4 linked regions of the Arabidopsis thaliana genome follow. The protein of the gene in region 1 interacts with the protein of each later gene in a pairwise test. Each region holds a gene or a part of one and is shown in the gene's direction. Other genes may lie near its edges. The genes, in order: MYB65, U2AF35B, GRF4 and AT4G00232.

Evidence for each region.
Region 2: the proteins of MYB65 (region 1) and U2AF35B interact in a two-hybrid assay, tested with the Arabidopsis thaliana proteins (one large-scale study listed by BioGRID).
Region 3: the proteins of MYB65 (region 1) and GRF4 interact in a two-hybrid assay, tested with the Arabidopsis thaliana proteins (one large-scale study listed by BioGRID).
Region 4: the proteins of MYB65 (region 1) and AT4G00232 interact in a two-hybrid assay, tested with the Arabidopsis thaliana proteins (one large-scale study listed by BioGRID).

Annotation. Positions count from the first base shown.
Region 1 is NC_003074.8:3,598,380-3,607,258, forward strand, and holds MYB65 (myb domain protein 65), read left to right. Parts: upstream 1-3,656; 5' UTR 3,657-3,826; intron 3,827-3,969; exon of another isoform or gene 3,970-4,150; intron 4,151-4,504; exon of another isoform or gene 4,505-4,611; 5' UTR 4,612-4,676; coding exon 4,677-5,048; intron 5,049-5,167; coding exon 5,168-6,176; coding exon of another isoform or gene 6,177-6,202; exon of another isoform or gene 6,203-6,269; coding exon 6,270-6,550; 3' UTR 6,551-6,793; downstream 6,794-8,879. Other genes in the region: AT3G11450 (DnaJ and Myb-like DNA-binding domain-containing protein), read right to left, coding at 7,080-8,879. UniProt on the Arabidopsis thaliana protein: Transcriptional activator of alpha-amylase expression that binds to 5'-CAACTGTC-3' motif in target gene promoter. In vegetative tissues, inhibits growth by reducing cell proliferation. Promotes the expression of aleurone-related genes (e.g.
Region 2 is NC_003076.8:17,167,218-17,175,995, reverse strand, and holds U2AF35B (Zinc finger C-x8-C-x5-C-x3-H type family protein), read left to right. Parts: upstream 1-3,208; 5' UTR 3,209-3,738; coding exon of another isoform or gene 3,739-4,032; 5' UTR 4,033-4,416; intron 4,417-4,693; 5' UTR 4,694-4,699; coding exon 4,700-5,551; 3' UTR 5,552-5,905; downstream 5,906-8,778. Other genes in the region: AT5G42825 (uncharacterized protein), read right to left, coding at 3,739-4,032; IPK1 (inositol-pentakisphosphate 2-kinase 1), read right to left, coding at 6,659-6,808, 7,027-7,617, 7,708-7,818, 7,901-7,941, 8,022-8,169, 8,254-8,466. UniProt on the Arabidopsis thaliana protein: Necessary for the splicing of pre-mRNA. Probably active at the 3' splice sites.
Region 3 is NC_003074.8:19,613,218-19,621,885, reverse strand, and holds GRF4 (growth-regulating factor 4), read left to right. Parts: upstream 1-3,378; 5' UTR 3,379-3,617; coding exon 3,618-3,849; intron 3,850-3,946; coding exon 3,947-4,141; intron 4,142-4,438; coding exon 4,439-4,736; intron 4,737-5,291; coding exon 5,292-5,709; 3' UTR 5,710-5,909; downstream 5,910-8,668. Other genes in the region: AT3G52905 (Polynucleotidyl transferase, ribonuclease H-like superfamily protein), read left to right, coding at 6,415-6,563, 6,688-6,745, 7,160-7,228, 7,321-7,416, 7,511-7,600, 7,694-7,744; AT3G52900 (RAB6-interacting golgin (DUF662)), read right to left, coding at 8,034-8,108, 8,196-8,276, 8,345-8,455, 8,525-8,668. UniProt on the Arabidopsis thaliana protein: Transcription activator that plays a role in the regulation of cell expansion in leaf and cotyledons tissues.
Region 4 is NC_003075.7:98,388-105,011, reverse strand, and holds AT4G00232 (DNA-binding storekeeper protein-related transcriptional regulator), read left to right. Parts: upstream 1-4,167; 5' UTR 4,168-4,290; coding exon 4,291-4,755; downstream 4,756-6,624. Other genes in the region: AT4G00238 (DNA-binding storekeeper protein-related transcriptional regulator), read left to right, coding at 1-920; AT4G00234 (mechanosensitive ion channel-like protein), read right to left, coding at 3,224-3,497, 3,576-4,093; MEE50 (ARM repeat superfamily protein), read right to left, coding at 5,962-6,624.

The DNA of each region.
Region 1 (8,879 bases):
GTTCCAGTTGGCCTACCTCGCCAGTTCCACGCCATCTTTCATAAACCTCTTTTTGCTTTCATTATGATGAAATACTTTGGGTTATAAAAATATAGAGTATGTATTTGGGTATTTATATGAATTTATTCCGCATAAGTGTACGAAAATTATACTGTAGATGGCAATTGATAAAGCATCCAATTATATATGTTTGTTATTTCTCCTAAACCTATATATATATCTTTTGTTGTAAGGAGTAAAATTGTATTCTGAAAAATAAAAGTCCCGAGTCCGAGTGTGTTATCCTACTAATTTCAAAACATTTAGGGTTACGAGTGGTAAATATATCTTTAAGTTCTGACATCAACTAAGCGTATTTATGTAATGGGAATTGATCTTTGATTTCGGTTAACTATTTTAGCGGTTTGCAGGAGTAGGTATTTAAATAACTTTGTTACCAAATGACAAATGTCAGAAATTGATTGCCAAAGAGAAGAGTTCAAATAAAAGATAAGGCGAAAATGCTGTGGAGAACATTGGAGACATGATTGGCGTGCTTTTTATATGGGATCCTAGCTAACAGAGCAAAATATATTAAGTTACAGAATACAGAAGCACTAAATGGAAATAAGTGGTAAAAATAGCTTCGAATACATTAGCTCCATCTGTTTCACATGCGGTAAACTGAACCTTATAGTTATAGCTCATTTTGCAGGTTTTAGTGTACAAGATGTTGCAAAGAAAGAAATGTGAGATCCGTGTGATATAAAGAACGGCCACAACCATTATCGACATACCTTACTCGTATGCATTTTCAGTAACAGGCACACAAATGTTCTTCCAAATTAAACAAAATCATAGTTCTGTTAAAGTTTAATATATCAGATTGTCAAACGATTATCTGTAAAATTAAGTTCTTGCAATACCCACTAATTTTACCATTTGGAGCCTAGTCAGAGATTGGCATTTTGGGAAGATGGAATTATAAACAATAAAATTCAATGTGAAAAATCTGTTGGTAGATCTGAATCAAAATACACAGCAAGAATGCATCACTATAACATATAGTCGTTAAATCTACTCAAACATATATACTGAAGTCATCAGAAAACAAAAATTATGATGAAAGCTGAGAGAAGTAAAAATCCTAAAATAATGGATCAGTATGATCTAGAGATACTTACTTATATATGAACCAGAAAAAAATTAGGATCATATGAAATAATTTGGATTCTTTTTTCGGAAAGCTAAGATCATTTGAGAGGTTCAAAACATCTACAAGAATTCAAGATAGAGAGAAAATGAACATACCAAAAAGTTCTCGAGCTATATCCAAGAAATACCTCCGATCTGTGAATTCCTACAAAAAGATTGGACTATGAAATTTCCAATCAACACAAACCTGTTTCTATGTGTAAGCCACTGATTGCAGCTGCAGCATCATCAAGATTCTCATACATACATCAAAAATCTAATCATAAATGGGTTTATTTACACGAATACTTGATGATTTGTGAATCTTGATGATGCTCCAACAGCGAACAGTAGCTGGTTGATGATAGGGATGTATGTAGTGATTTGGTTTTGTCTTGGATCTTTTCAAGACTCAAGACGGCACCATTTTGCTGGAAACATGAAACCCTAATTTCAATCCTTAATCTAGAGTCTAGCTAGTGACCTAGAAAGAGATAGATGTAGACTTTTATATATATGAAGCGATAAAGAAGAGCCTATTTGGTGTTTTCTCCAATGATGTGCATAAAATATATATAATTAACAAATTAAAAATACGTTAACTGAGATCTCAGATACTCAGGTCATTAGTACAAAGTACAAACGTCTAATAGAGGCCAATTTTGTCATCCATATTCAATTCAAACCATATCATTTGCCATAACCGTACCCATATATAGATATTTGTTAGTCTACAAAAGACTGTATAAATCGTTTTATCTTGTGTTCAAGCCATCAACTATGATATCAAATTACCAGATCACTCATGCTAAAGAATCCATCGAAATGTATTAAGTTTGTCGAAGTTCGTTACTCTATATGGTGGATTTTAAATATTTGATTTGGTTAGATAATTTTTAGTTATACCGTCAAATAAATTTCCAACTATTTAGTCAGCGAATTTAAAGATCAAACACTAATCATCAGTAATGGTTTGCTGAAAATCGTCAGAATTTCTTTTACTAGTGAGCAAGTTTTAAGATGAAATAAAAGGTGTGAAACGAAATAGAGAAAAGGTAGAGAGGGAAGAGACAAGCGTGAGACACGGAGAAGTGGAACTGATCTCTTTACGTTCCTCGTACGTTTACCAAGTTACACTGCTTTCCATATTTCTATATTATTATTCCCTCCATCCCTTTCTTCACATACTTTATGTAACTTCTTTTTAAAAACCAATTATTTGTATTCTAATTGATTGAATCAAATAGTTTCTATAAGACTATAAATAAACATAATTCGAATTCAAATTCGGCAGCGTTGAAAGATATATGTTGAACAATACATTACCACACTTATTAGTAGAATATATTTATTTCTAGAGTCTCAAAACATAAGCCAAAAAGCCGAAAGCACCTTTTTATCTTTGTGGGTTTGGTGCAATGGATCATATATATGGTACATTAGCATTTTTATCATCTTTCTCTTTTATCATTTTTCTTGTATTGTCGGGCTTGCGTCAGGCCTGTACTTATCTTCATACAACATTATTTATGTACATAACCAGAATTCAGGCCACAAACAATACGTGAGCTATTCAGGATCACGAGGTCCACGCGCTCGCTCACCTTCCTCTTTCCTCAAAGGCTTTAGCTAATTGTTAACTAGATGGAAAACAGTGCTATGGTTGAATTTTAACATATTGGTTACTACTATCTCAATAATATTTTGTAATACAAATGTCGGTAGATGAATTGATATACCACCTTCATGGATGATGAAGATCCACTTTTAAAGCCCAATTTTTTGTTTTTCTTCGATGCCGAAATCAATATGGGCACATGTGGATCCTACTATAGCAGTTCCTCAATTTGAGTTAAAAATCTTTGGGTTTTAGGCTTTTAGCCCAAGGAAAAAAAAAAAAAAAAGAACCAATTTTTATTTTTTATAATTTAATAAGAACCAAATTATTCATCATTATATACTTCTGACAACAAATATTTACTATGTATATTATATAGTGAAGAAGCTGTGACATGAAACAGATTCAAGCCAATCGTCTGATTAGCTAGAGAATCACTGTCATAATCTATTAGTTGACAAAGAATGAATGACACTAGTACAGTAGTTAATATGAGTGCGGATTCTCGTAATCTCAACGTATCTACGTCAATAAGCTCATTTATACATCATTAAATTAAAGTACAACATTCCAATTTATGTTTGGTGGGTTCCTTTTTATCAAGACGTATACGATTATACCAAACCTTTATCCATAATTATTTTTAAATGATACATTTCGTAAATATTAATATTACGATTATTATTTTTAAACCTAAAATCTTTGAATTTTATAAAATTTTAAAATTGATAAAAAAGATACGGGATTTTTTTTGAGTTAATTGATTTTCTAATAAAGATATTGGATTCTTAGTGTTTTTTTTATTCTATAATTTATTTATAACGCGGAAATAAAAAGCAAAATAATTAATTAAGTGAGGAGAGTTTTAATATTTTGATGTTTATTTCTAAATTCATCTCTTTTTTCCACTTCTGTTCAGCTCTGATGAATCTTCTTCCTCTGTTACTTTGATCTCTTTCTCCATCCTTGTCTCTGTCGATTCTCTGAGATATCTTCTCTCGAGCTTTTTCCCGCGTTATCTCTCTCCCACTCCTGGTAATATTTTCTTCTTCTTCTTCTTCTAGATTGTTCTTCCGTTACTAGCTCTTGAATCCATTTCCACGGATCTCTGATCTTCAATCTCTGTTTTCATTCTCTCTAATCAGTTGTTGAGCTTGATATTTTTAGCTAACGTTTTTCCGATTCAAATTTACGATTTGTGTGTTTTCCGATAACCAAATCGGATATCTTCAGCTCAAACTCGAGCTCCGATTTCGTCTCATGTTGTAGATCTCGACGACTTCGTATTTGTCTATGGTTTGCTGATTGTATTCAGATTGCTAGATACTCAATATAGAGCTTACTTTTACCTCAGCTAGGGTTCGTCTTTGTTGTACCTTTAGTTGCTGCTTTTTGATTCTTGTATATATGGATTTTGATTGTTCAATCGTAATTTCTGGTTCATTGAAAATCGATTTATTAGTATTCGAAATTGGAACTAAGATTTAGAGATTGCGAATTTGATACAGAAGTCATTTCAAAGTATCAGAGCTATAAAATGGTGCTTAGCTAGTTTCTGGTTTCCATTTCTGGATTTTCATTCAAATACGAAATCTATTCGTCAAAATGGTGTCACTAGTGTTCTGTAGAAATTTCATTACAGACTTTTAGTTGTTGCCTAGTATCAACTCATATCTCAGCGGTAGATATGATGAATCTACTAGACATATTTTTCAATTATCGCCTCCTTTTACAAGTTTATCATGTCATTATTTTGTTGATAACTACATGAATGCTGGCTGAAATATTAATTTGTCTCTTTTTCCTCTTAATTGGTTCAGGTTGGAGCTTGATGTCTAAATTGTTATTGAACTGCTGGAGTCTGTCTTGCTTTAAGTAGAAAGAGATGAGTTACACGACGGCGACTGCTGATAGTGATGATGGTATGCACTCCAGCATCCATAATGAATCACCAGCTCCTGATAGTATTAGCAATGGCTGCAGAAGTAGAGGGAAAAGAAGTGTCCTGAAGAAAGGACCATGGACTTCAACTGAAGACGGGATTTTAATTGATTATGTAAAGAAGCACGGCGAGGGTAACTGGAATGCTGTGCAGAAACACACTAGCCTGGCCCGTTGTGGTAAAAGCTGTCGTCTGAGATGGGCTAATCATCTGAGGCCAAACTTGAAGAAAGGAGCATTTAGCCAAGAAGAAGAACAGCTCATTGTTGAAATGCACGCCAAGATGGGAAATAAATGGGCACAGATGGCTGAACATGTAAGTAGTTTTGTAACTGCGGAAGCTACCTGATCATGGTCCATTTTCATATTTTGATATTCTTTGTGAGCCTAAAGACTAATTAATCTCTGGTATGATGTTTTCTTCTTGTTTACCAGTTACCTGGTCGAACAGATAATGAGATAAAGAATTATTGGAACACTCGTATCAAGAGGAGACAACGAGCAGGCTTACCACTTTACCCTCCTGAAATCTATGTTGATGACCTTCATTGGAGCGAAGAGTATACAAAGAGTAATATCATAAGAGTAGATAGAAGAAGAAGACATCAAGATTTCTTGCAGTTGGGGAATTCTAAAGATAATGTCTTATTTGACGATCTAAATTTTGCTGCTAGCTTGTTACCTGCCGCTTCTGACCTATCAGATTTGGTTGCATGCAACATGCTAGGAACTGGCGCAAGTTCTTCCCGGTATGAGAGCTACATGCCACCAATATTGCCTTCCCCAAAGCAAATCTGGGAATCTGGATCTCGGTTTCCCATGTGCAGCAGTAACATAAAGCATGAATTCCAATCGCCGGAACACTTTCAGAATACGGCTGTACAGAAGAATCCCAGATCTTGCAGTATCTCGCCTTGTGATGTTGATCATCATCCTTATGAAAACCAACATTCGTCTCATATGATGATGGTTCCTGATAGCCATACAGTTACGTATGGCATGCATCCTACTTCTAAGCCCTTGTTTGGGGCAGTGAAGCTGGAGCTCCCTTCATTCCAATATTCAGAAACTAGTGCATTTGATCAGTGGAAGACGACTCCGTCACCTCCACACTCAGATCTCCTTGACTCTGTTGATGCCTATATTCAATCTCCACCACCATCGCAGGTAGAGGAGTCAGATTGTTTCTCTTCATGCGACACCGGCCTACTAGATATGTTACTTCATGAGGCCAAGATCAAAACTAGTGCGAAGCACAGTTTGTTGATGTCATCACCCCAGAAGAGTTTCAGTTCAACTACTTGCACGACCAATGTTACTCAGAATGTACCACGTGGCAGCGAAAACCTGATCAAATCAGGAGAATATGAAGATTCCCAAAAGTATTTGGGTCGCTCCGAGATTACAAGTCCCTCGCAACTTAGTGCAGGTGGTTTTTCATCAGGTGAGTTGATCAAAGTTACTTGTTGATTGGTATCTTATCTACTCTTGTTCCATATTGATTCTTATGCAGCTGTGTTGGTTTTCGTATATGAAGCTTTTGCAGGGAATGTTGTAAAGACAGAAGAGTTGGATCAGGTTTGGGAACCAAAGAGAGTTGATATAACACGGCCTGATGTTTTACTTGCGTCGAGCTGGCTTGACCAAGGCTGTTATGGCATTGTTAGTGACACAAGCAGCATGAGTGATGCGCTTGCACTTCTTGGTGGTGACGACATTGGGAACAGTTACGTGACTGTTGGGTCATCATCAGGTCAAGCACCACGAGGCGTCGGGTCTTATGGATGGACCAATATGCCTCCTGTTTGGTCGCTGTAACAAAATGAACCATATCACACAATTTGAATCTTTCTGTATTTTCATGCACCTGGCTTACATGACTTGGTGGTTTGTTATAGTTGAGAGAAGATTTGTGGACTTGGTAAAAATTTGGATTTTCTTCACCTGATTTTTCTTATACTTGGAAGGCATTTATATATACTCATTTCTTGTTCCTGCTACTTCCATCATACTAGCTCGATTGGTTTTGTTTAGATTGTAAAGAAGCAAATCAAAATTAGGGCTTATTGTAGCCCAACCTCTAATTGGGACCGGAGACACAGCAGCATGAGCGATGCGCTTTATTTCACAACTTGAAACTAGACGCTAATCAAACGTTACATAAGATTATGTAAAAAACAACATACTCCATAATAGTGGCTCCAGCACTCTCAATATATAGAGACATCAAAGGGAAATGAATCATTACAAATAATAAAAAAGTTTTAGGTCTTGCTTCTCGCAAAGTAACGGTGCCCCAAGAGGATTAAAACCCAAAATTCTCATGGGACTCCGAAATGATTTTACCTCATACTCCGGTTTTCTTGTTTCTAATGATTTCCTTAAGCTCTGCAAACTTCTTCTTGCATTGGTTCATCGTTTTACCAGGGACAGCTGCAGCTACTCTCTCCCATCTTTGGCTTGTCTCTTTCGGGAATGTCTTTAAAGCTTGAACCAAAGCTCTTTCTTGCACAGTCGACCAACTATCTGCGTCTGAACTTCCACCTACTTCACCATTGTTGTCTGAGCTTTGACTGCTCGAGCTTTTCCCCACAACAGTCTCTTTAGAGGGCTTTGCATTTGTTGTGGTCGTCATTGTGGGTAGAGATTCTCCGAGCTCCTCTCTTGTGGAGAGAGGGGATGTGATTGAAGCAGAGGGTTTCCTCTTCTCGAGGAAAGAATCGAATGCTTTAGCTGAATCTGGTTTTTGCAGGAGAACTGTTTTAGTTGCTTTCAGAATTTCCTCTACAGATCTTCCTGTACCAATGTACTCTGAAATAACTTCCCATCTCCGCGATGTCCCCTTTGGATATTTTATCATTCCTTTTCTCAGCATATCAATCTCTTCCTTGCTCCATGGTTGTTTCTTCTGAGTGCTACTATCTAACTGTGAAACTCGGGTTGTAGGCTCTGTGCCACCGTTGGTCTTCTTACTTACTTTTTCTTTAGATTCGGCTTCATCATTTCTACTACTGTTGCATCCATCTTTGATCACCTTTGCCAATTCTAGTCCTTCTTTGTTTCCCATTTTATCACATAGATTCTGCAACTGCTCGGTGTTAAGTGACATGCATAGATTCTCTATATCTTCCTCAGAGATGTCAAGCAGACGCTGAGCCACGAGAGGAGCTGAGAGAGTTCTAAGACGATTTCGTTCTTTGCGTAAGAGCTTCTTCTCTCTTTCCTTAGTTTTCTTTTGTTGTTGTGCAGATTCTGCTGCTCGCTTTTCTTCTTCTTCTTTTCGCCTTTTCTCTTCTTCAGCAGCAATAGCAGCGTCCTCTTCCTGCTTCTTCTTGGCCTGAATTTTTGCATCTTTTTTCTGTTGCTTCTCAGCCTTTTCTTCCTCTTTTCTTTTCACAATTCTCGGGTCTTTTCTATACGCATTGTCAACAAGAGTCCTGATTCGAGCATGCTCCTCCTTTCTAGCCTTCACAGTTTTTTTTGCATTCTCCTTTTCCATCCACCTACGTTCTTCACGGGAATCTGCTTGTTCAAGATCATGCTCCTCTTCATCAGGAAATTCCCTCCAACTCTTGAAAGCGTACCAAAAGTTGTAGAACTTATCAACATCTTTAAGTGGTGTGTTTTCATCTCCCAAATCTGGAATACGCTGATTCACTGACCACCTAGCATTTCTCTTAAACGCTGGACCAAACACCTTGAAAAAGTCTTGCGGCAAGCAATCCGATGGGACCTCGTCATCAAACTCATCAGTGGAGTCAAAAATTCTTCTCCTAGTTGGGTCCATCAATACCTCATATGCTTCTTGAATCGCTTTGAAGCGAGATTCAATCTCATCTTTTTTTGCCTCCTTGGCTTCTTCTGTTTCCTCTAACAGAAGGAGACTAGCGAGTTTATCAGGATGATGCTTCAATGCAGCTTCACGATAACTTTTCCTAATCTGATCTTCCGTCGCAAGATATCTTAGATTGCTCAAACCCAACAACGCATAGTGGTCTTGTTGCTGGGTACCAGACTTCTTCTTTCCTTTGTTGGCATACGAGTTGAATGAAGGAACATATTCCTTCTCTTTATCATCTCCCACTTTCTTATCACCACCTTCATCGTCTGTGGGTTCTTCTGCACAACCATGCAGTTTAAGCGCAGC
Region 2 (8,778 bases), on another chromosome or scaffold:
ATTGAATAGACGGAACACAATAGCTGAATACGTTTCCACAAATAATCACACATATATACTCAGAGATTAAACTTAGTAAATTTCTGATTTTTTTACGATTTTATTTTAATACAATTTTTTTTAATATTCGTCGTTTACCACTTTCGAGAAATAAACATTTGATCATGTCTAAAAGGTAAAAATATAAAATACTTTCACATTTCAACACGTTAAAACATGCCAAAGTAATATATTTCTCTATTATAATCGGCATTAGTATTACTGTATTAGGTATCAAAAATTTAAATCAAATGAACAACTAGGATGATGTCAAAATTTGAACTAAACATAAGCAACGTAGATGCTCAATAGTTAGGATATAATATGTTTTTCCGAATCTGGTTGGTGTAGTGAGATCAGAATTTGTAGCTTTGAAAAAGTTGAAAAAGGATAAATTATTCATGTGCTCTTTGAATGTCTCTCAGCACTTCGAATTTGGAGATTTCCAAATTCTTTGAACTTGAATTAGTTTCCTACACGATCAATTTGTAAAATAAAATAGATTTTCTCTTTTAGCAAAGTCAAAATCAAAACTTTTCGGATAATTTGATTTACGGGAAAAATATTGAAAAAATCGCTAATTTTTAAATTTGGGACGAAAAAAACATGAACTTTCGAAATGTTATTTAAATCATATTTTTTTTATTCTTTGATAAAATGGTCAAGTTTTATTGACTGGGCCAATTCGGACATGCCGTGAAATTTTCGTAAACAGAGTTAACGTTCCGTTAGAATTTTCTGTTAAACCCTACAATTTTCCTCAACGTGGGTAACATTTGAGCAAAAGACTATTTAGGAGGAGCAAAAGCTACAAAATCTATTAACAAACGCGTATGCGTAGCTAACTTTGTGTCGGGATCAGTAAGACGACGACCACCACGCACCTTTCGTTTCGCTTGGATTAGCAAAATGTCTAATGAGACATATAGAGATTCCACTTTTGAGCAAGGCAACTTCACGAACGCAACAAACTCCCCTTTCGCTATTCTAGTCTTACAAACCATCACATCTATTACTCCCTTGTAAAAAGAGCTCATATATTTTGACCCACGATAAATTTCTTAAAAAAAAGGATGGAATTCACTGAAATAATTATTTTTAAGATATCTTAGTTCACACGATATAAAATTAATTTAAACTAAACTCACTTACATCTTTAGCAAGTGTTGTATACTCTGGGCGGAACAAGTGCAGTTTTGCGGCCACATGTATAATTTTTAGGAATACCAATGCCTGAAGAAAAAGTCAGACGTTTCACAACTCCTACCACGTCAAAATGTCTAACATTATTAGGTGCTTCGTAGCCAGGTTCGACATTCTACACAATCAAGTGAAGCCACGGCTTAGGACATTATAGTAGAGGAGCATATTTTTATAAAAAAGTTTTAAGACTTTTATGTTATAAAAAAAATCAATTATAAGCATTTTTCTATATATTTATATTTGTTAAACTTTTCATTTACTATCTTTTTTTCATCTTTTTAAATTAATAAAATGTCTTATTAATGAATTTAGTTTAGTAAAATTTTAGATTTAAGAAAAATAAAACCTTAAACTCTAAAATTTTGATTACAAAAAAAAAGTCAAAGACTTTCTAATGTAAGGTGCTTGAACTTTGATTACAAAATAAAAACTTTGTTTTTATTAATCAAATAAATGAGTTGGCTTTGCTATCCATTAAGACAATTATGTTTGAAAAACTCGATTACGTGAATTTGATGAATGGTTTTGGAGGTAAAAATCTAAATAGAGGTATATTTAAAAAATATAATTTTGTTTTTTTTTCCTATTTTTTTGCTTACAAAATGCTTATAAAGTTCAAAAAAAAAAATCTATAAAGTTTTAGTATAACTTTTATATACTATTAATTTTTTGATTATGCAAAAAACAAATAAAGGGCATAAATGTTTTATATCTGTAGGGCATTCCTACAAATATTAAAAGTTTTAGTATAACTTTTAATATATATATATTATTGTTTTTCAAATTAATTCTTACTAGTCAAAGTTAATGGGATTGTTAGAAATTATTCACGTAAACAAACAAATATATATTTATATATATATGTATATATACTATTATTATTCAAATTAATTCTTACTAGTCAAAGTTAATGGGATTGTTAGAAATTATTCATGTAAACAAAGAAATATATAAAATTTTCTTCTATTTAAAAAAGCAAAAAAATTGACTCTTGAATTTTGGTATAGTACTGGTTTAGCTAAGGATGTACTAAAATTTATTATTGAAGTTGATCGATGAAGATGACAACACCGTACTATATATATACACATACTAAGAGGGAGAAAATAAAACACTTAGTTAAGTATACATCGAGGAAAATGACTTTCAAAATTAAGAAGAATGGTTTAATGGTGCAATTGCGTATTAGTTCTCATATGATTTAATTTTTAAATATCTATTTTCACTTTTCGTATAAATTTTACTTATTCTAATAATATCTCTTAAATTTATAAGATCTTGTGTGACCGTTTTTTGGTATGTGTCACTAGTTACATTATTGAATTTAAGGGTTCGATAAAAACTTATGGAATGATCGGGTAAATATATTTAACCACGGATACTTATTTGATTTTACATCTAGGTTTTTTAATGTTAAAAGTAGATTGATCACCTAAATTTAAGTCTAGGGATATGTACGAAACAAAAATGTTTAACAACATACTCGTAAGAACCTTAAATGAGCAATACTTTCTTTACCAATGAAAGCTGCTGTTAGAGGGCATCCTGAACATGTGGAGGTTAAAATTAATGACTCTCTAACTATTTTGTTCAAACAGAATTTCATAGATTTTCCATTTTTTATTTTACTCATTTTGTAAATAACCTCATTTTACCATTGATCAAATAAATTTAACATTTCATATAAAAAAAAACCTCATTTGAAAATTGTATTTAAGTATTCAATTATTTGGAGATTGTATTCAAGTATTTAATTTGACAAATATAATTTGGTTAAATATTTCAAGTATTCTAAAAACATTCAGATATTTCAGTTATTTCAGATAGTTTGGTTATTTTGAGTGTAAACATAACTAATATCTTTAAATTATAAATTATAAATTTGGCTATCTTGATTATTTGAAATATAATTAAGAATAACATTTTAGATATATAATTGTATTTCAGATAAGTCTGACATTCACTAGATTTTTAATTTATTTTTAATTTTATTCCCATATTTTTTTTTTTTCTTCTCATAAGTGTATTATATTAACCACCAAAAGAGGAAACAAAGCATTAAAGCTTACAACGATATGTGCAGAAAGAAAAGTTAGGCCCAACATAGCCCATAAGATTAACATCTACGGCATAAAGATGTTTTGACATTTGGACTCTATCCAATACACGTGTCCACGTGATATTACAACTGCAACACAAGATGAAGAGTCATCGGAAGTGTACCGACATCAACCTTCGCCGCCGATGAACACCGAATCCGGTGAGGAATGCATCGCCGAAACATCGCACAATGAATCCTTGTAACCACCGAAATAAAACTGAACGGTGCTCCATTTAAAAGACACAGCAAAAAGGAATCATAATAAGCATCGGAATATTCTTCAATCTTTCAACCCGAAGACATAATCGCTTGATAGATTTCTGCAAATCGAAGTTTCTAAAGACACAAGACAGAAATTAATCTTAAGTAACTAGCACCTAAAACTAATTACCATCTCAAATCTGTTGAGATTTATTGAAAAACAAAACTAAAATATCAAAGCAATCAGCATAAAACTGATTGACTACGAGCAAGGATACAAGCGGCCAAAACCTCTTATGAAAGCAGGATTTGCCGTACGGGAACCGGTCATCTCCACTAAAAGAGCTAGAAGATACCGGGCAAAAGCCCAAATTATTTGGAACGGCTATCATCGGAAAATTCTTGTAGGTGGAGACAAAAAGCTTTCCCTCTCTGAAGGTTTTGTGAGAGAGAAGAGAGAGAGAAGCTTTAGCTCTTTTTATTCCCATATTTTTTTAAAAAAATCATTCAGATATTAATTATCTAGTTCTGTTCGTTTCCTTCCAATCCAGTTCAGTTTAGTTTGGTTTATTCGGTTCTGAGCCGGAGCAACAAAAGGATCAATCTTAAAATCCTCGTTATGTTATGACGATTTTGACGAGGACCAATATTGTAACTTTCTATAGTTTATTTTATTATTCCTCCTTGTAGAATAGTTTATTTGCAAAATAAACCCATATTAATATCTCTTTCTCTTTTTTTCACCACACTCTCTCTCTCTCTCCGGCTCACACGAGTCGCTAATCAAATAAACCTAAACCCTAGATCGTGATCGGCAACGGCACCTCCTCGTCGGCGATAGCTTCTCTTCCACTAAAAGAAAATCCTCTTCGGTATTCTTCTTCCTCTAATCAATCTCTCTCTCCGTTTCGGATTCTCATCTCCACTCGATGACTAGAAACGTCTCGATCTGTTTTAGATTTGACAACGATTCATGATTCTGATTCGTTCATTGATTTGATTCTCTTTGATTTTGTGTTAACTCTCGTTTATAAGCTTAGATTTGGTTCTCGTCTCTGATTCTGAATCGTTCTTGTAGTGATTTGATTTATCATATAAGCGTAGAAGAACAATTTGTGTTTAGTTGAATTTGATTTTTGTTATGTTTAGGTGAGAATGGCAGAGCATTTAGCTTCAATCTTTGGTACTGAAAAGGATAGAGTGAATTGTCCGTTTTACTTTAAGATTGGTGCTTGTCGTCACGGTGACCGGTGCTCACGGCTTCATAACCGTCCCACCATCTCGCCGACGCTTCTCCTCTCGAACATGTACCAGAGACCTGACATGATAACTCCAGGTGTGGATCCTCAGGGACAGCCGTTAGACCCGAGTAAGATCCAAGACCACTTTGAGGATTTCTACGAAGATATTTTCGAAGAACTCAACAAGTTTGGTGAAGTGGAGAGTCTCAATGTTTGTGACAATCTTGCTGATCATATGATTGGGAATGTGTATGTTCTGTTTAAGGAGGAGGATCACGCAGCTGCTGCGTTGCAGGCTTTGCAGGGGAGATTTTATTCCGGTCGTCCTATCATTGCTGATTTCTCTCCTGTGACGGATTTTAGGGAAGCTACTTGTAGGCAGTATGAAGAAAACAGCTGTAACCGTGGTGGGTACTGTAATTTCATGCATGTGAAGCAGATTTCGAGGGAGCTTAGGAGGAAATTGTTTGGGAGGTATCGTCGTTCATACCGTCGGGGAAGCAGAAGTCGAAGCAGGAGTATAAGCCCTCGACGTAAGAGAGAGCATTCGCGAGAGCGAGAGAGAGGGGACGTTAGGGACCGTGACCGGCATGGAAATGGGAAAAGGAGCAGTGATAGATCAGAGAGGCATGATCGGGATGGTGGTGGAAGGAGGAGACATGGAAGCCCGAAACGGAGCAGAAGCCCACGAAATGTGAGAGAAGGAAGCGAGGAAAGGAGGGCGAGAATTGAGCAATGGAACCGAGAACGTGATGAGGGAGTTTAAGGGTATCGTTTGGGCTGATTACTTCATAAAAATCGGTAAAATCTTGTAATGGATATTCATTTGGTGTTCTTTTTTTGAACTTGAAAAATGAGTGGCATGAACTCCTTAGATGATGTAAGGTGTTTACTGTATTTTGTAGAATTTTTGTTTAGAAACTAGTTCGTGAGGCAAATGATGGGTTCAGTTTTTCTAAGTTAATGTGGTAATGATCCCTTGGTTATTGTTCTTTATGATTGTCCCTTGCAATGTCTTCTTATAAGGTTTAAACACTTTGTATTGTTCGGGGAAAGAGATAAATGTTGTACGATTTTTTTGGGTGGATTGAATGAAGAAACCGAACCCAACCCAAATATTAACCCAAATATTATAAATACCCGAATGGGTGCTATGAGCCTAAACCCAAAAAACCCGAAGCGTATCGGAGCGTGTATTCGAATGCCAAGCCCTAGTCAGTTTTATTATTGTTAGTGTCCACTTTTCATGTTTAATGGATTTTGTTCTCGATAACTCAAAAAGTTATTATTTACAAGTGTGGTATCAGAGCATGGTTCATGATGCTACGGGAAACCATTTTCAATGTTTTATTAAGTAAATGTGTCGCAAAAGATGTTAGGAATTGGTTCAATCACTTGCTAAAACTTAAGTAGATGGGATTATATGACTTATCCTTTTTGTTGTGTTGTAGTATGCCGCCAAAGAGATCTCATGGTTGTGATTCAGTGGGAGAGGAGGGACGGTCCATGGGTCTGCCACCCCAAAGATACTATCTTTTGTGAGAGAGTGGGGAGACAGTATATCGGAAAACCGCTGACAAAATTTTCCATAGAAGGAGCAACAACAGTGGCTAAGCTCCACCATCTTTGTATGTACAAGCAATTCTGGCAAAACTTGACAGAGAGCATTCTGGAACAGTAAAATATCTCCAGGCAACGGCTCCATGCCGAGAGAAGACCAGGGAGAGAAAGAGATATAGAGTGAAGGAGATATAGTTCCAACAAATTTTAAGTTTAAGAAATGAACATTCATCTTTTAGGGCTTTCTTTATTATGTTCTACAACAACAGTAACCAAAAAAAAGAGAGCTAGTGGTATTGAGACGATACATGACTTAGCTGTGGGAAGGTTTTGAGTTGCCGATTTGTTCTGCCGTGTTTTCGGCTTTCTGCTTCCGATTGTAAAAGCTAATTATCTTCTTATCCAATTTGTAGTATGACTCCATTCTCTTAAGTGGTTTCAGGCTTAGATCAATGAAATGTACCTACAGTTACATAAATCAAATATCAAACAAATATAACAAAATGAAGAAACCGATTATATGGTTCCTGAGAACTCAACGTTTTCTAAGGAAATTTCTGTTCTTATAATGATTCGCGGATCCCACATTTTATTTTTAGAGAATTGTACCAATGATCTCAGCAAATATTATTAATAGTTCTTTCACCATATAAGACAAGAATGTGTTAAAATGGATCATACCTTGTAATCAAACGTTTGATTGGTCGGTTTTAGAGAGACGTAATCACCCGAGGGTTCTGAATCCCAAGCATTCCTTGATTGAAAACTGATCATAATACTACAGTCTTTGGCAGTTGCAGCTATCAAATACTCCTTCACAATCTTCAAGCTTTCATCTAAAGGTAAAGCATGTAGAGACAATTCCGCCTCCAGTGGCTTACCTTCTTTACATATAGGACAAGGCTGGTTGATTAAATCGTAATACGAATGAATCGCTCCTTCAATGTCTAATTTGTCTAGCTTCTGAATTTCAAGAAGTCTATCAAGAACTCCTGAGCCATAGACAGCGTCAGATACTAGTTGTAGAAAGCACTCTGTCCTATGACCGTCTTCTGATTGAATGAAGCCTTTGAGAGCATCCTCAAAGGCATACCCGATTTCGGGGCTGGTTCTCCCGGTGCTTTCACCTGAACCCCCTAATATGAGAGAACCATTCAAGAATACGCGGAAATTGTTTTGAGGAGTGGAATATAAAGCTTTTATAGCTTCCAAAACACTCTCTTTTGATCCAGAGAAGAGATCAAGAGGATCGTACTCGCTTTCTTCAGATATCTGTAGAATGGTGACATACTTATTAGACATTTCAGCAAATCACAATCTATAGACCATTAAGATTTTATACTAACAATGACTTGCTTTTACCTCGTTATATTCCAACTTTAAGAGTTGATGCATTTTGAAACGGCTTACGCTTGTTTTGAGCATGTTTTCTTTACCTATGAACCTTGAGGTTGGAAGAAATCCGCATTTGGGCTACTTCATGGAATTAAGGACAGTGAGTTTAGGTCAAGCATGATAAAGAGAAAACTAAAACAACCCAGAGGATTTATCAAACCTTTATTTCAACACTAATGCAATCACCACCGCTAGAAATACCTGACACAGATAACACCATATAGTTACGACTAATTTTTATGATCATGAAAAAAGTCCGATTTCTTATAATAATAGGTTACCTTGAGAAAAAAGTGAATGATCATTCAATATAAGGGCAGAATCATGACTCGTATCAACATTTGCTGCATTAACACGCCATAGCGGACGCTGCTTAGTTACTTTCTTATCAACACACTCAAGAAACTCCTTGGACACAGAAACACGTACCTACAATACTCTAATCATCAGCTTACCAAGAAGCCATAAGTATCTAAATAAAACCAACAAAGACCATTTGATAATATTACTTACTCCAGCATCAACATGTTTAGGACCCAAGAGTGGGATGATCACATTCTTAACATATCTTTGTTCAAGAACTTCCTTGTTTGGTGATGAAATCAGCTCATTGTTTTCTCTCCATAGATGTTGCTCATCGCTTGTTAAAACCGAAACAACACCATTCGCATTCTTGATTGCTTTATCATTCCTCCGAGCCTTCTGTATACGAATCACTTTCCCAACCTAATCAAAGTTCAGAGATAATGTAAAAGATTGGTCAAACTTAAACAAACCAAATCCAATTCTGTACAAAACATTTTACTGTTGAACATTGTGTTAACTCTTTAGACACTAATCAATCTGAGAAGATAAGAATTATACCAACACTGATTCTGATTCTGATTCTTCATAGAAGAAGAGAGCCACTAAAAAAGAATCTATATCCAAGTTTCTAACTAGAGAATCTAAACCAAACTTTTATAAAGCTAAAAAGTCAATGACGGCGAGAATCTGAACTACTTTTTTTCAAAGTTCATCAGACTTGCTTTAACTTTT
Region 3 (8,668 bases), about 16 Mb from region 1:
TTAAAATCTGATCGAATATATATAACAAATTTAGAAAAGCATATACGTGAGATGGTTAACGAGTTTGTTTTCACTTTACTGAATTTCAAAAGGCAAAATGCCAACCATAGCTGCCCAATCATATATATGAGCAGCATTTATTATCTTTCTACTTACTCCCGAGACAGCTTCAAAGATGCAAACAAAAATAAAAGACATTTAAGAGAACAAAAAGCTTATGAAATCATTATAGGCCGCTAAAATATACTATCTCAATCTATTCTAACTATGGAAATTCCTTTATTTACACCTGTTTTCACATTGTTACAGATAGAGTTGCAGTGAGTATATCCATATTCATATGACAAAATGAATTCTCAATACAAAGTATTCATGGATATATTGTGAGCGAGGTCAATAAAAAACAACTTTACAGATTGGAAATTTTCATATTGAGTACTGAATTAAAATAGAATAACATAACAAAAATGATTTCCAAATAAAAGCATATAGATGATTACCTAAAACAAAAGGCATGATGATTGATCGTTAGTGCTACAGAGAAGAACCGGTGGCGATAGGGGACCAAACATAAATTCGTCGTAACACTCATACAAATGTACGGCTTGGATTGAGAATCGTCGAGATATCTCATGGTAGGGTCAATCCAACAGTGGGCCTAAAAGCAGATCCTCGAGGAATGGTAACGACTCTCATGTTCTTCAAATTAATTTATTCTACGTTTGCCGTCACATTTATGTTATTTCTTGTATAGTATTGCATATGTTGTATTTTGTCAATCGATATGACTAATGGTTTCAATAACATATATTGTAGCATGTTTACAATAAAGAGTGGGTCAAAATGAAGGTTTTATTATCATCTTCTAATTAACTTGACTTTTTTTGGTTTAGACTTTAGATCATGTGTCTTCTCTGCTTATAATCGAATATCAACTGACTAGGAGAATCAAAATAATGTTGAAACTAAAATATTGGTCAAATTATACATCAAGTCTTACAACATTTTTGTTGGTGTTAAACATAGAGTTAAAGAAGGCCACAAGAATCATTCCAAATTGAATATAATAAGCACATTAAGAAATTAGAGGTCTGCTAAGAGGTTTGCTTATTTCGGTTTTTGTTGGTGTACTGCTAAACGTAGAGTTTAAGAAGCCCATAAGAATCATTCCTAAAGGAATATACGAAGCCCATTAAGAAAATAATTAAGGCACGTGAGGCCTCGCGTGCTAGCGTGACTAGGCTTTTTATTTACGGCCCATCGTAAGTGAACGTAAATGGCATAGTGCGTAAACAGACGGTAACTTTTGGTCAAAAAGTGAAAAGAATATATTTGGTATCTCACATTACATAGTGAGACCCACAGTCTGTGCCCTCGTCGGAAACTAAAGAGAGAGCCTCCTCAGATTATGATTTCGTTGTCCGGCTCCATCTTTACTCCAGCTCGGCTCGGTTCGGATCAGCTCCCGTGATTTTCAAATCTATGTGAGTAGGTGGAGAGTTTGGGCCGGGCCCTCTTCTGATCTCATCTGGTCTTAATCTTAGCACGTGACCCAACCCTTGTCCACTGAATAATACTATATATTTTCTGTCATTTTATTTGGTTTTACGAAACAATTGGAACATGAGCAACATATAAAAATGTATGTAGTATGGTAATTTAAACTAATGCATTTACCATGTATAACCTAATAACCATGTAGGTTAAAGTTTAAACAAGATATATATAAAGTTAGTCTAGATAATCAACATTTGTTTGGTTGTTTTGTTACCATTAGTATTACTGCATCTGCATGTAATCTTTGTTCGTGTTCATGATTGAAAAAAGACATACAATATGTCATTACGTTCACACTTTGCTTTCAGTTTGTTTTCCTTCGATATCATTATCTTTGGTATATGACAAGTTCTGGCCCAAAATATTAGTGCACAGGATCCATTATTACTTTATTAGTTAAGACCCATCATTAGTGCACAAGATCCATTATACTATCAAGTATCAACAAAAAATATTTCTATTTTAGAGGCTAATATTTTGTTTAGGCCATTTGCGAAATATTTTTTCTATTCTAAAAAAAAAAACGTAAAATGTTTATTAAATTCAGTTGCCGCTTTATACTTGTTACAAAGATTTTTGTTTTTCAAAAAGGAAAATTTTACAAAGTCAAAAAGAACCTATGGTATATTTTGAAAACAAAGTTTATTTTGGGTGTTATGTTATGATATTCCTCTTCTTTTTTATTTGGTTCACAAGATTTACAGCAAATGAAGTGTACATAACATTGAACTGTACTTAAGGAATTGAGTTTTTCTTATATTTTTCTTAGTGCAAATATAAATGCCGCCGAAACTGGTGGGAATGAATGAAAAGAAAACTCAAGAAACTCTCTCAATAGTCATCATAGTCTTTGGTTGTGGCTCACTCCTACATGAAATATCGTTATCGTCCTTCTCATATTTATTACTTTATTTCCTCAAAACTACAAAATAATGCTATCGTTTTTTGTTTTGGCACCACCAAATAAAGATACTTTGAAAATCATAAATGTCTTTTGTATTATTCAGCCAAGTGAAGATATCAAATAAATGTTTCTAACTTCATTTTAACAAATGTTTCCAAGTTTACTTGGCCTTTTCTGGTAATAATATGATTCCCTCCTTTCGATGTGTTTAGATATGTACATATACTACTAGCTAGCCATGTCTTTTTAAGATAACACAAAGATAAATGTCCATTTCTACATTTATATAAGGAAGTTATAATTTTTTTTTAATAAATCAAACAAACACAGACGTTACATAATATTTTATGAGTAACAATAATATTGTAACAGATGAGAAAAGTAATGACGGTTACAAATTAAAAGACAAATATGGTTAAACCACTAAAATGGTAAAGTATTTGGAAAACTTACTAACCAAAGAGAGTAAATAGAGCTGAGATTGTATTGTAGCTCTCTGCAAATGGAGACTATTTAGTCAAAACCCAAATGATTAATCATGCTTAGAAGTTAGAATCTCATACATTTGTAACACAATCTCTGAGACAAATGACATCTGTAAGACAAAAATTGAAGGTTACTCTACATCACATTAAATGAATCCTTAATAAAAAAACATAATAACAATATCATAATAGGCATCTCTTTAACCTACTTAAGGAATATTAAAATGAGGTAAAAAAAGGAAGTGATATTTCCAAGGCAGTGAGACATAAACACTGCAGGTTACTATCTCTCCATCTGCATCTTGCAGTGCTTTCTCTCTTTGTTTTCTGACTTACATAATTTTTATATCACATAAAGTAACAATTTATTAAACCTATCAATCAAATATTATATACTAATTTTGTTTATCCTATCAACTGTCTTGTCTCATAGTCTAAACACTTTTCTCTAGCTCTCTCTAACAAAAGAGTGAAGAAGAAAAAGTTTTTTATTTTGGGTATTTACATGACAAGCCAAACAAATAAGACTTTTGTTGTGGTTGTCTTTGCTTATTAAGCCAGACTCTCTAAAAACAAAAGAAGTGAGGGTAAAAAAACTATCCCAAAAGCAACCAACACATTTCTCTGTCTGTCTCTCTTTCTCTCTCTCTCACTCACTCTCTCTTTGTTCCATGGACTTGCAACTGAAACAATGGAGAAGTCAGCAGCAGAATGAGTCAGAAGAACAAGGCTCTGCTGCAACTAAGATATCAAACTTTTTCTTTGATCAGATTCAGTCCCAAACTGCTACTTCTGCTGCTGCGGCTCCTCTTCCTCTCTTTGTCCCTGAACCCACTTCTTCCTCTTCTTTCTCTTGCTTCTCTCCTGACTCTTCTAATTCTTCTTCTTCTTCCAGGTTCCTCAGTAAGTTGTTTTAAAAGGACAAGACTTATTCACTCTAATGTTGAAGTTGTTTTTGCTGATATTTAATCTGACGTTTCTATGTTACATATATATGTAGAGATGGGAAACTTCTTCAGCTGGGCACAGTGGCAAGAACTTGAGCTACAAGCACTGATCTATAGATACATGTTGGCTGGTGCTTCTGTTCCTCAAGAGCTTCTCTTACCTATTAAGAAAAGTCTCCTCCATCAATCTCCTATGCATTTCCTTCACCATCCTCTTCAACATAGTTTTCCTCATCACCAACCTTCTTGTCAGTCTCTCTCTCCTCTCTATTGTTTATGCTTCTCTTATCCTTGAAATAGTCTTTCTTTGTAAAAAAGATTCCCTTTGTTTTGGTGTTGGAGTTATATTTCCAAGATCTAAAATAAGTATAAGGCTGCTCTGCAACCTTGCAAGGAGTTAAAACCCTATGTGTATGATAAGCCTATTTCTAGAAGATCTATTAGCAACATAGATAGAATCAGACAAGTACATTTCGTAACCAATGTCTTGAGTGAGATTTATGTTTGTTGTTACTAATGAACAACACACACTTAATAAAAAACAGGGTATTGGGGAAGAGGAGCAATGGATCCTGAGCCAGGGAGGTGTAAGAGAACTGACGGCAAGAAATGGAGATGTTCAAGGGATGTTGTAGCGGGCCACAAGTATTGTGACCGCCACATTCACCGTGGAAGAAACCGTTCAAGAAAGCCTGTGGAAACCGCCACAACCACCATCACAACGACAGCCACAACAACCGCATCTTCTTTTGTCTTAGGTGAGGAGCTTGGTCATGGACCAAACAACAACCACTTCTTCTCCTCTGGTTCATCTCAACCTCTCCACCTTAGTCATCAACAAAGGTACAATAAAAAAACACAAACACTCTGTTTAATTAAAGTCATTAGTAGATTTGGTTAATTACAAATATTGTTGTTAGGGAAATAGTGATTTCACTGTGAAGTAATGCTGTGAAGAAAGGGGTAATGTTGGCAATAGGGTGACAAGAGAGACTTATCATACATACTTTGTGATAAAAACATTATTCTTTCTTTTGTTGAGAGATAATGATAACAGTTGGATTTGATAGAATCTAATTTTATTTACTAGTTGGGTGAGACTTTTCAATCATAGAAATAGAAAAGAGAGAGAAAGTTAAAGAGATATGTATACTTATGTTGTATTTGAAATAATGACATGGTAGGACCTCAGTGAAAGCTGACCAAACCTGCATAGAAGCCAAACAAAATAAAGCTCTCAGATTCTGCAACCACTTCCTCTTATTAACACACACATTTGACTGATTAAATTATTTCTCTAACCATTTTGTTGAATTGATCAGTCTACTTATTATTGTTCAAATGTTGGATCTTTTTGTTGACAATGTTTATGTTTATGTTTATTCCTCTCTGTCACAGTTGTTCTTCAGAGATGAAACAAGAAAGCAACAACAACAAGAGGCCATATGAAGCTAACAGTGGATTCAGCAATGGAAGATCAGACGATGGTCACATCTTGAGGCATTTCTTTGACGATTGGCCACGATCATCAGACTCTACCTCCAGTCCAATGAGCTCATCCACTTGTCATCTTTCAATCTCCATGCCCGGTAACAACACGTCCTCAGATGTTTCTCTAAAACTTTCCACAGGCAATGAAGAAGAAGAAGAGAACATGAGAAATAACAACAATGAGAGGGAGCAAATGAATTGGTGGAGCAATGGAGGGAATCACCACAACAATATGGGAGGACCATTAGCTGAGGCTTTGAGGTCAGCTTCTTCGACGTCAAGTGTTCTTCATCAGATGGGAATCTCTACTCAAGTTTTTCATTAAAGAAAAGTGTTTGTAATCTTTTTGGTTTGTGCTCTTTGAATCTTTATTTTCTGCAGAAAATAATCTTTGAATTTGTCTTCTTTTGGAATTGTGAGTTCTGCTTTTGGAATTGTTTTGTTCCTTACTCTGCTATTATATTTATGTTTAAAGCTTGACAATTTTGTATAAGCAATGAAACTAATATGATCCTCTGCCTGCAAGTAAGTACAGGAGAGGTGGTTACTTGAGCTTTTCACTTAAGCTAAACCGAATCAATTTTGGGAAACCAGTTAAACCACCTCGAATTAACCGGTTCCCGGTATAATGTAAAACCAAAACCCTGATAATCACCGGCATCGTATAGATTGATTAGACGGTGAAGTCTCGAACTTAACCGGAATAAACCTTTTCCGGTCCATCTCTAATTCACAATCTTGGGGTTTGTGCTTGCTTGCTTCAATCGCGAAGACATTTAGCAGAACCATTTGTCGTTTCCTCTCGCCAGATTCCGTGCTCCGGAGCCAGAAAGTTTCCGCCTTTAAAGTACGTCAAGATTTAAACTTTCTGATTAATTTCTAAAACCCTTTTTCGAAATGTTTGTTTGATGGTCTGATTAAAGTTTTTTTTGTACAATAATTCTCAAATTTATGCAATTGATATGTGAATTTTTAGTCTTGATTTGAACAAGTGTTTTGGAAGTTTGATTCACTTACTTTTGATCAGGAAATGAAGTATGTGAAGCCATTGAGCTTATTGGGTAATGCGCTGAAGACCAAAGTGTCAGTCCCTGGTCGGTTTCTGGGTTTAGATGTTGGTGATAAGTATGTTGGATTAGCTATCTCAGATCCTTCAAATATGGTTGCTTCTCCATTGAGGTACCTTTGATTCAGTGTCTACATGCTACAACATTTGTTTAACAGTAATTTTCAAAAATGCAAATCCTCTCTGATCAATTTTGTCACCATCATCGCTATTGAAAACCTGTTACTTCTCTTGCAGTGTTTTGCTCAGAAAGAAATCAAACATTGACCTGATGGCTACAGATTTCCAGAACCTGGTAGGTGCTATAAGTTTGATCGTTCCTTTACTTTTTAGCTCTAGATTTAAAGGAGACCTTAAACAAATACACAGATTTTAGTTCTTGTTAAGAAATGGAGAAACTATCATTTCTTAGTGTTTTTTAAAACAAAGAAAAAAGGTTGCTAGTGTAGATTAGTGTTTACTAAGATAAGGAATGAAGAAACTATCGTTTGTTTTGGTAATGAAGAAGAAAGTTTGTTAGTGTAGTAGATTAGTGTCTACTTTCACCCTCGGCTTTTTGTGATTACTGCCTTACTGGTGATTAAAGGATCAAGGTTTATTCAGTTAGTGTTTACTGTTAAGTCCTTGACGTAGTAGAGATCTATCAACAAGTAGACTTATGAACTCTGTTTGATTACATCAATCATTTGCCTTTTGTTGTCTTATGCAGGTCAAAGCATTTTCTGTGTCGGGATTAGTCGTTGGTTATCCATTTGGCAAACTGAACAATGTAGAGGATGTAAGTTTTTTTTTTTGTTTCGACTGAATTGTGAAGTACTTTTCCTCTACATTAGCTCATATAACCGAAAAGGATTTTTAAACTTGGAACAGGTTGTCACTGTGAATCTTTTCATTGAGGAACTTCGTAAGACCGAAAAACTCAAGGATGTGAAATACACATATTGGGACGAGCGATTATCATCAAAGGTATATATTTTTCAGATTTAAAGATCTTGTAAGTCACAGTAAAGATAGGTGTTAAGTTTAATATCCCTTGAATCTCATGTAATACTGTCAACAGACCGTTGAACTGATGTTGAAGCCCTTGAATTTGCATCCTGTTCAAGAGAAGACAATGTTGGACAAGTTAGCCGCAGTAGTTATACTTCAGGTAAGGTTACTAATATTCATTTAAAGACCAATGGAATCTGTTCTTGTATTTCCTTCTTGATAATTTTTATGTTTGATTGTTTGTTACTTGCAGGAGTATTTAGATTACGCGAACAGGTATGTAAACACTGAGCCAGCAGAGTAAAAGGAAACGGGTAATGACAAAATAGGGAAGCCGCTAGTTTCGGATATATGAATATAATGATGCTTGATTTGTTTTGACATTATCTATGTGTACAAAGACATCTTGCATCTTTTAAGAAATTCGTTTTTCGCTGCATTCATATCTTTAAACCTTAGCACCATTCATTTATCGTACATCCTGTTACATCGTAGCTCACTTTTAATAGGAGGACCTGGATAGAGTGTAATACCAAAAACTTAAACAAATTTTCACTCTCTTTTAAGGTAAGATCCATGTAGATTGCTTCTCCTCATTGCAAGGTTCCAACAGTCTTGTTGATTTCCTCCAGTTTCTTTATCCTTAATCTTTCACTTTCAGCCAGTAGCTGCCAAAAGAAAATCATCGTCACAAATCACACATTGGATCTTCAGTAGAAATTTTACAAAGCTTTTAAGTGGTTTAGACTAAATACCTCCATTAACATGGAAACAAGGTGAGCTTTCTCTTTGTTCTTTTCATTGAAAGCTTCCAATGTGTCTTTGTATTCCTTCTCCTGTCAAATTATCCTCTTGTGTTAAAACAAAGCTGCCAGCTTTTCCTGAAAATGAAAATGTGTAATACCTTTTTCTGACAGCTTTGTGCCAAAGATTTGATATCTCGATTCGCCATGTCGATTTTCTTCCTCACCATACCAACTTCTTTTCTCATAGGATCTCCCATAATCTCTAGCTCCTGTTTTAGTAAGAACATTATTAGCTTTGTTGTCTACCATGTTACACAAAAGGCTTTTTATAAACTTACTTCCAATGTTTGAGTTAAGCATCTTGTAGCTTCCTCTGCAAAACCGAGCCGCTGTTGAACTTTTTCCTTAACAGTCATCTTCTTCCTCTCGATCTCTTCTTCTCGGGCTTGAAACCTCGTCACTGCAACTTTCCATATCTCTTC
Region 4 (6,624 bases), on another chromosome or scaffold:
CAAAAACCCTAAACTCTCCTTCCGCCGCCGTGGCAGTTTCTGATGACTCAGAGTCAGAGAAGCAGTCATTCGTCTTAACCAGGCGGAAGAAGAAAGAAGGTGCTGCTGAATCACCGGCAGTGAAGTCAGGGAAGAAAGAAGGTGCTGCTGAATCACCGGCAGTGAAGTCAGGGAATAACGAAGGTGCTACTGAATCACCGGCGGTGAAGTCAGGGAAGAAGCGAGCTAGCGAAGGAACCACGTCAAGGGACATGCATGTCAAAAGAATTAAGAAAGAGGGCGATAACAAAAAGGGGCATGCTCAGAGAGTATGGAGTGAAGAAGACGAGATCTCTCTCCTGCAAGCAATGATCGATTTCAAAGCTGAGACAGGTACAAGTCCTTGGGATCATAAGGATAGGTTTTTTGATATCGCCAAGAAATCTATAAGCTTTGATGTTAGTAAAGTCCAGTTCTTTGACAAGATTAGAAGCTTTAAGAGAAAGTATTTTGGTGACCGGAAGGTGAGAAGTGTTGAATCGGATCATGATAAGAAGTGTTTGGGTTTGGCTGTTTCTTTTTGGGGATCTGATGGTGTGAGCCTTGAAACTCCTGTGAAGAAGAAAGTGAAAGATGAATCTGTTCTTGTTAAGGCTAATAGCAAGGAGAAGAACGTGAAACCTTTGGTTAAAGAAGATGAGCAAGTCGTGATTCTTGGAGAAGATTCGGAGTGGTTTGAGGAGTCTTTTCTTGTTCCGGTTATCGCTAGTCTCGGTTTGGATGAGTATTCTGTGAAGAAGAAGTGGAGCAAGGTGTCCGTGGAGACTAAGAAGAGGATTCAAGAGAAGATGAAGCTTGTGGATGCTAAGAAATGTGAGTTGTTGTTGGCGAACATGGATGTTTTGAAGGAGGTGACTTCAGTGCTTACTCAAACCAACTAAGAAGAAGAAGAGGAAGCTATTGGATTGTATATGTTTATCCGTTTAATCTCGGGTTTAATGAAGATGTAATGCCTTATTTTGTTATCTATCTTAGGCTTCATCTTTCTATCTACTCTAATGAACTTTTAGGACTTTGGATTCTCGTGTGAGAATTAGCTTTGTCTAACAAGCCTTTTGGTCGATGGTTGTAATGAATTAGCTAAGTTGTCTAACTAGCCTTTTGGTCTATGGTTATAATGAACTTTTAAGACTTTGTAAATGTGCTTCTTATATGAATGTCTCTCTACTCGTAACCAGAGTTATTACAAAACAAAGAAACACACAACAGAATGTGGGAGATTGTTAGCTATCATACCAATTGAATTTTTACATGTTGTGGTTACTACTAACTACTGTCCCAATTTCATATCACTTGTTGAGCTCTTGCTCTGCTTACACTCTCCTTTAGCTCAGCAACTACATGACTCATCCTCGGTCTATTCTTAGAACTAGAAGATGCACAAGCCATTGCTACTTCAGTGATCTTCCATGCCGAACCAGCATCAAACCTCTCCCCTAGCTTTGGATCCACAATGCCTCTGATATCTCCTGTCGACAGCATTAAAGTCGACTCAGTTATGTGTATGTTCTCTGCTGTTGTTCTTGAACGTGCAATCACCGGTTGGCCTGTGACAACCTCTAAAAGAACAACCCCGAAGCTCTAAACATCACTTTTCTCGCTTAATTCTTGCGGTCAAATGGTACCTTCATTTTGTAAAACAATGTCTACAGCAGCAAAAGACCAGTGACCAAAACAAAGTAGCAAATAGACTGACCTGACAAGTAATCTCCTAAGGTTCCATTAGCCATAAACTCATAGATAAGCGCCATCTTCTTGCCTTCGTGGCAGTATCCGATAAGAGCGGTTAGGTTCTTGTGATGAACTCTCAGGAGAAGTTCGACCTGATCATACACAAGTTGGTGGATATCCCGATTACTACAGAACTCACTTAATAGAGACTAAACCTCTTAGTGTATAAGAGAGTTACCTCTGCTCTGAACTCTTCGTACCCTTGAGCCGATGATTCAGAAAGAATCTTGACAGCTACTTGGTCATCATTTAAGACACCATGATATACTTTTCCAAAACCTCCTTGTCCAAGAACTCTCTCAAAGTTGTTTGTAACTTTCACAACTTCTGAGTATTTGTAGTATCTCTTAGTTGTGTCCATTGGCCCAGTCCTGACGCCATCACCAGAACCACCTGTAAAGATCTCATAAGAATATTTCTTCCAAGTAAACTTAGAAATCAAAGAAGAAGCAATGTAGGATCGTTTCTTGATGTTTTTACCATTTCGATGTCTCTTCTTGTACTGCAAGAACAAAGCTATTGCTACTACAAGACCAAGCACTCCCGTGACAGATGCTGCTAATAGAATGATGTACACACTCTTTTTTGTCTTCTCATCCGGAATTTGACATGAAGCAGACACGCAGACATAGCACCCGATAACTTGTTTCCTTCCAAGTTTCTGCAGACATATATGTGATATGAATATAAATTCCTCAAGTTATAGTGAAGTCAGTGTCTATGTAATCTACATTTCCTGTTGAAATGTTGTTTGATAAGCCCCTGTAATGAAATTTTGGTTGCATCAGTTTCACAAATCTGTATACAAAAGAATTCCATATGAAATCGAAAAATACGAACAAAATATGTAACAATGTAAGGTTTGAGAACGCTGCATCAATCTCTCCAGTCAAGCCACTCGAGGATAAATTTCTGAAGATCAACAAACTCTTGTGAGAACAAGACATACAGATCAAAGACATATACGAGCATTTGAAGAGGATCTTACAAAGAAATGATTCTCGGAGACTCATTATCGACATAGCTGCAGTTAATATCCTTCCAAGGGTATTTTACTGGAGCACAAGGGTCCCCAAGCCAGCTCTTCTTCACTCCATACTTGGACAGGAATGGAGTTTTGAAGATAAAGATCAAAGTCGAGTGCTTTCGCTAAATTACCGTAGTTAGCGTACATGAAAACGGGTTCTGATCAAGAAGAAGATAAAATGAAGGTTTCTTGTGGTATTTCCTCACTACCTATATCATACTGTAATTCATTAAGAAGAAGTTGAAGGTTACTTGTTGCTCAAGAAAACTCAAGAATCTGTAACACTTGCATTAAACTTGTAGCGAGGAATGTCAAATATAGCAGAGAGATATAGAAGCACAAAACAAAGAATTCTATATATAACAAGAAGTAGTCATTCTCTCTCAAATCATAATAAGCTAATATCTCACATTGTTGAGTTCTAGGTTACTCACCAACTGTCAAGATAGATTGAACAGCTACACCACATGCTTCAGCAGAAGCCATCAAACCGATAGCGAAAAGACCAACAGATGATACTTTGTCTAAAGTCAATACCTTGTCCCTATCAAGCCCACCAAAACTCTTAGCCGACAACATTCGGGTAATCACATTGGTCTTCCACCGATACAGGAACCACACAACTGAGAGAATAACCGCTCCCTTCACAGTCGGGGAAAAGTATTGAGCTGCTATAGTTGTTGGCGCCACCATTGCAGCACTGCAGCATATCACATTCATCAAGTCTATCTATTTTCTACAACATACATGTCAAAGGAATAAAGCTAGAGAGACTCACATTTGTGCAAAAGCAATGAAGGTCACCAAGTAACGAGCAGGATCCTCTAAAGCTCCCCAAAAGCTTTTCTCATAAGGAATGTCTTCATTAGAGAAGCCAACGGGAAGCAGTTTAGCGGAACTTTGCATAGCATAAGTGTGAAACCTTCTAAGAATCCTAGGCATCACTATCCAAGCAAATAAAGTACCAGTCACAGTGAGACTAACAGGAACTATAACATCTTTGAGATACGGGTTAGAGTCAAGGAACTGCTGAACATGAGGAATCATCTCATCAGAGACATCTTTAGTCTTCTTTGCAGTCTCAGCAACAGCATTGACACTAGTCTGCACCACATCTTTAGCTTTCTCAACCCAATCATTCCCATTCCCATCACCAGACCCAGTAACACCAGATGCTACAATACTTCCGAAATCATCAGATTTGGAGCTGAAAGCTCGTGCGTACGACGAATGGCTTAAGTAATTGAAAGGCTTAGCATCACTATGCAGGCGTATATTCGATGAAAAGGAGATCATCGAAGGAGAAGCTTTTGGTCCATCAAGAAGGTTTCCGCAAGTAAAGGCCCTGGCATGAGAGTTTACTAAAACGTTAGGTTAAACGTACTAATGATATATAGTAACTATAGCCGAACCCTAAAAACAGCCGAAACCTAAAAACGAACTCTTTTTCTCCCTAAAAACGAACTCTTTTTCTCTCAGAGAACCGTCTGATAATGGACAAAGCCAATACCAACCGGTCCAAGGTTTGTGGTGGTTCCGGTGAAGCTAAGCTAACTGGGAAGAAGCGGAAGAACGTGAGTGCCAAACAATCAAAGAAAGATGCAAAAAAGGAGAATTCTCAAATGTTAAAGTGGAGTTCGAAAGATGAGGTCCTTGTGCTACAAGGTATGTTGGATTTCAAATCTGTAACAGGTAAGAATCCTGTTGATGATATAAACGGAGCATACGAATTCGTCGTCCATGAATACATAAGCACTGTTATTGACGAAGACTTCATAGAGAAGATGAAGAGTTTGAAGAAGAAATTAAAGAAAAAACAGAGGATTTACGATAAAGATCCGTCTTCTTCGGAACCTCTATACCAGAAAAGTTCCGAGTGGTTGAAAATGATTTGGGGTTATGATGTGGAATCTGCCCTTGAGAAACCAAGGAAGAGTAAGCGGATTATAAAGCTTTGAAGCATCATCATCCAGTTAGATGCTAAATTAACGTCTCATTTCAGTTTGTTCTTGCAACTTTGGTTATCTTTTGTTCTATCTATGTTTCTGGTTTATCTTATGATACCTCTATGTTAAGATAATGGTTTTATCTTTTATTAAATGGAATCTGTTTCTATTCCAGAACATGTGTTTGCCATTCTGAATCAGACATGTTTGGTACTGCAACATCAAACAAACTAGTTAGATCTCTCAATGTTGACTGAAAAATTACGCAAATCAGACTATCAAACAATTCCTGAATACACACAACAATGCTCAATGCCAACGACTCTGGTTTTTTCTGGAGTTATATTGAACCATATGTTAACAGGGAGCAATAAGATTCTTATCACAGAGTATTTTCCGGAACTTTTGGTTTCATTTGTATAATCAATCAATCAATCAGTCCTGGTTTGATCATCAACTTTCATGTACAAGTCTGCAAGCCGTGGTAAAGTAAGTTTTTGCTGACATCTCGAGAAAACCTTCAACATGATTCTGCTCAAACAAACATAACAATCTAAAAACAGAGAAAAGACTGCATATCGGTAAATTGTGACTGCAGTGAACCTTGTTAGAAACTGAATCTCCTTCTAGAAACAGAACACCAGAGAAAGAGAATCAGACTTTGTATCACAATTGGTTTGATCGTCAACAGAACAATATAGAGAAGAACTTGCCTTTCTATTATAGAGAAAGTGAAACACAACAACTGCTTAGAAGGTTTACAACAAGGAACTTAAATACAAACCAACAGACATGAAAGGCTTCACAAAAGTTGAGCTGAACTAATTGATCATGCACTGCAAACCACATCAAACGAGAGCCATTTTCTGCTTAACATATTGAATTGATCATTTCATGTATATAGGAATTGTTAGAACCCTATAAATACCAAGAAGGAAACAAATAAAAGCAAGGCCAATATGAAACATTTTTCTCTTGAAACCTAAGAAGTCATCACGATTTTCTGTAATTTCCCAAAAACACAGAGTTTTGGATCCATCTAGCTAGATAGCTTCCGGATCAGTATTCCTTGTCTCTACAAAATGATCACTCACAATGTAGAATTGTCCCAGGTGGTACCTAGCGACACACCGTGCTTCTTTATGATCTTCACCGCCTCAAGAAGGACCTCTTGTTGTGTATTGTATAGCTCCTCTTTTCCCTGAGACAAATGAAGCTTCAGGTGTCATTGACAAGCTTTGGCCTGGCTGTTTTAGGATCAATTTCAACCCTGAGACCAATTTCACGGAGTTGAGGCACATCCACAGAGCCTTTAATCTCCAACTCAGCCACTACTTCCTGGTTTTCAGGGTTCCCTTCCAGTAAATTTCTTATACACCACAAGCCCCATTCTCTCAAGAACGGGTTCTCATCATCGGTCACACACTGCTGCAGCATTAAAAAGAGCCCATCTCTCTCCCTGATCTCATCTTGTACCTCTTTTCTTCTGTACGCGCAGTTCCCAATCACCGACACAATATCTCTCCTGAATCCTCTGTAAGGACACGGCTTTAATGAAGAAGAAGAAGAACTAGGACTCTGGTTTAAAGCCTTCTTTATTGTTGTTGGAGGATCAAGTTTACTAAGCAGATCAAGGAGAAGTTCTATTAGTCCAGAGGACAAGAGCAATTCAACAGTATCACCTGAATCCTTGTTGTCCTCCTTGAGTTCTTCAAGACGTCCTCCAGCACAAGCATCCCTTATTATCACCAGAGAGTAGCCCATCACATCTACTATAGTTGAACCCGTTGGAAGCTCCGATCTTTCACCCGAAACAAAATCAAAAACATCAACTGATTGCCTAAACAATCCGAGAATCGAACAAGCTGTATCCTTGGGGAT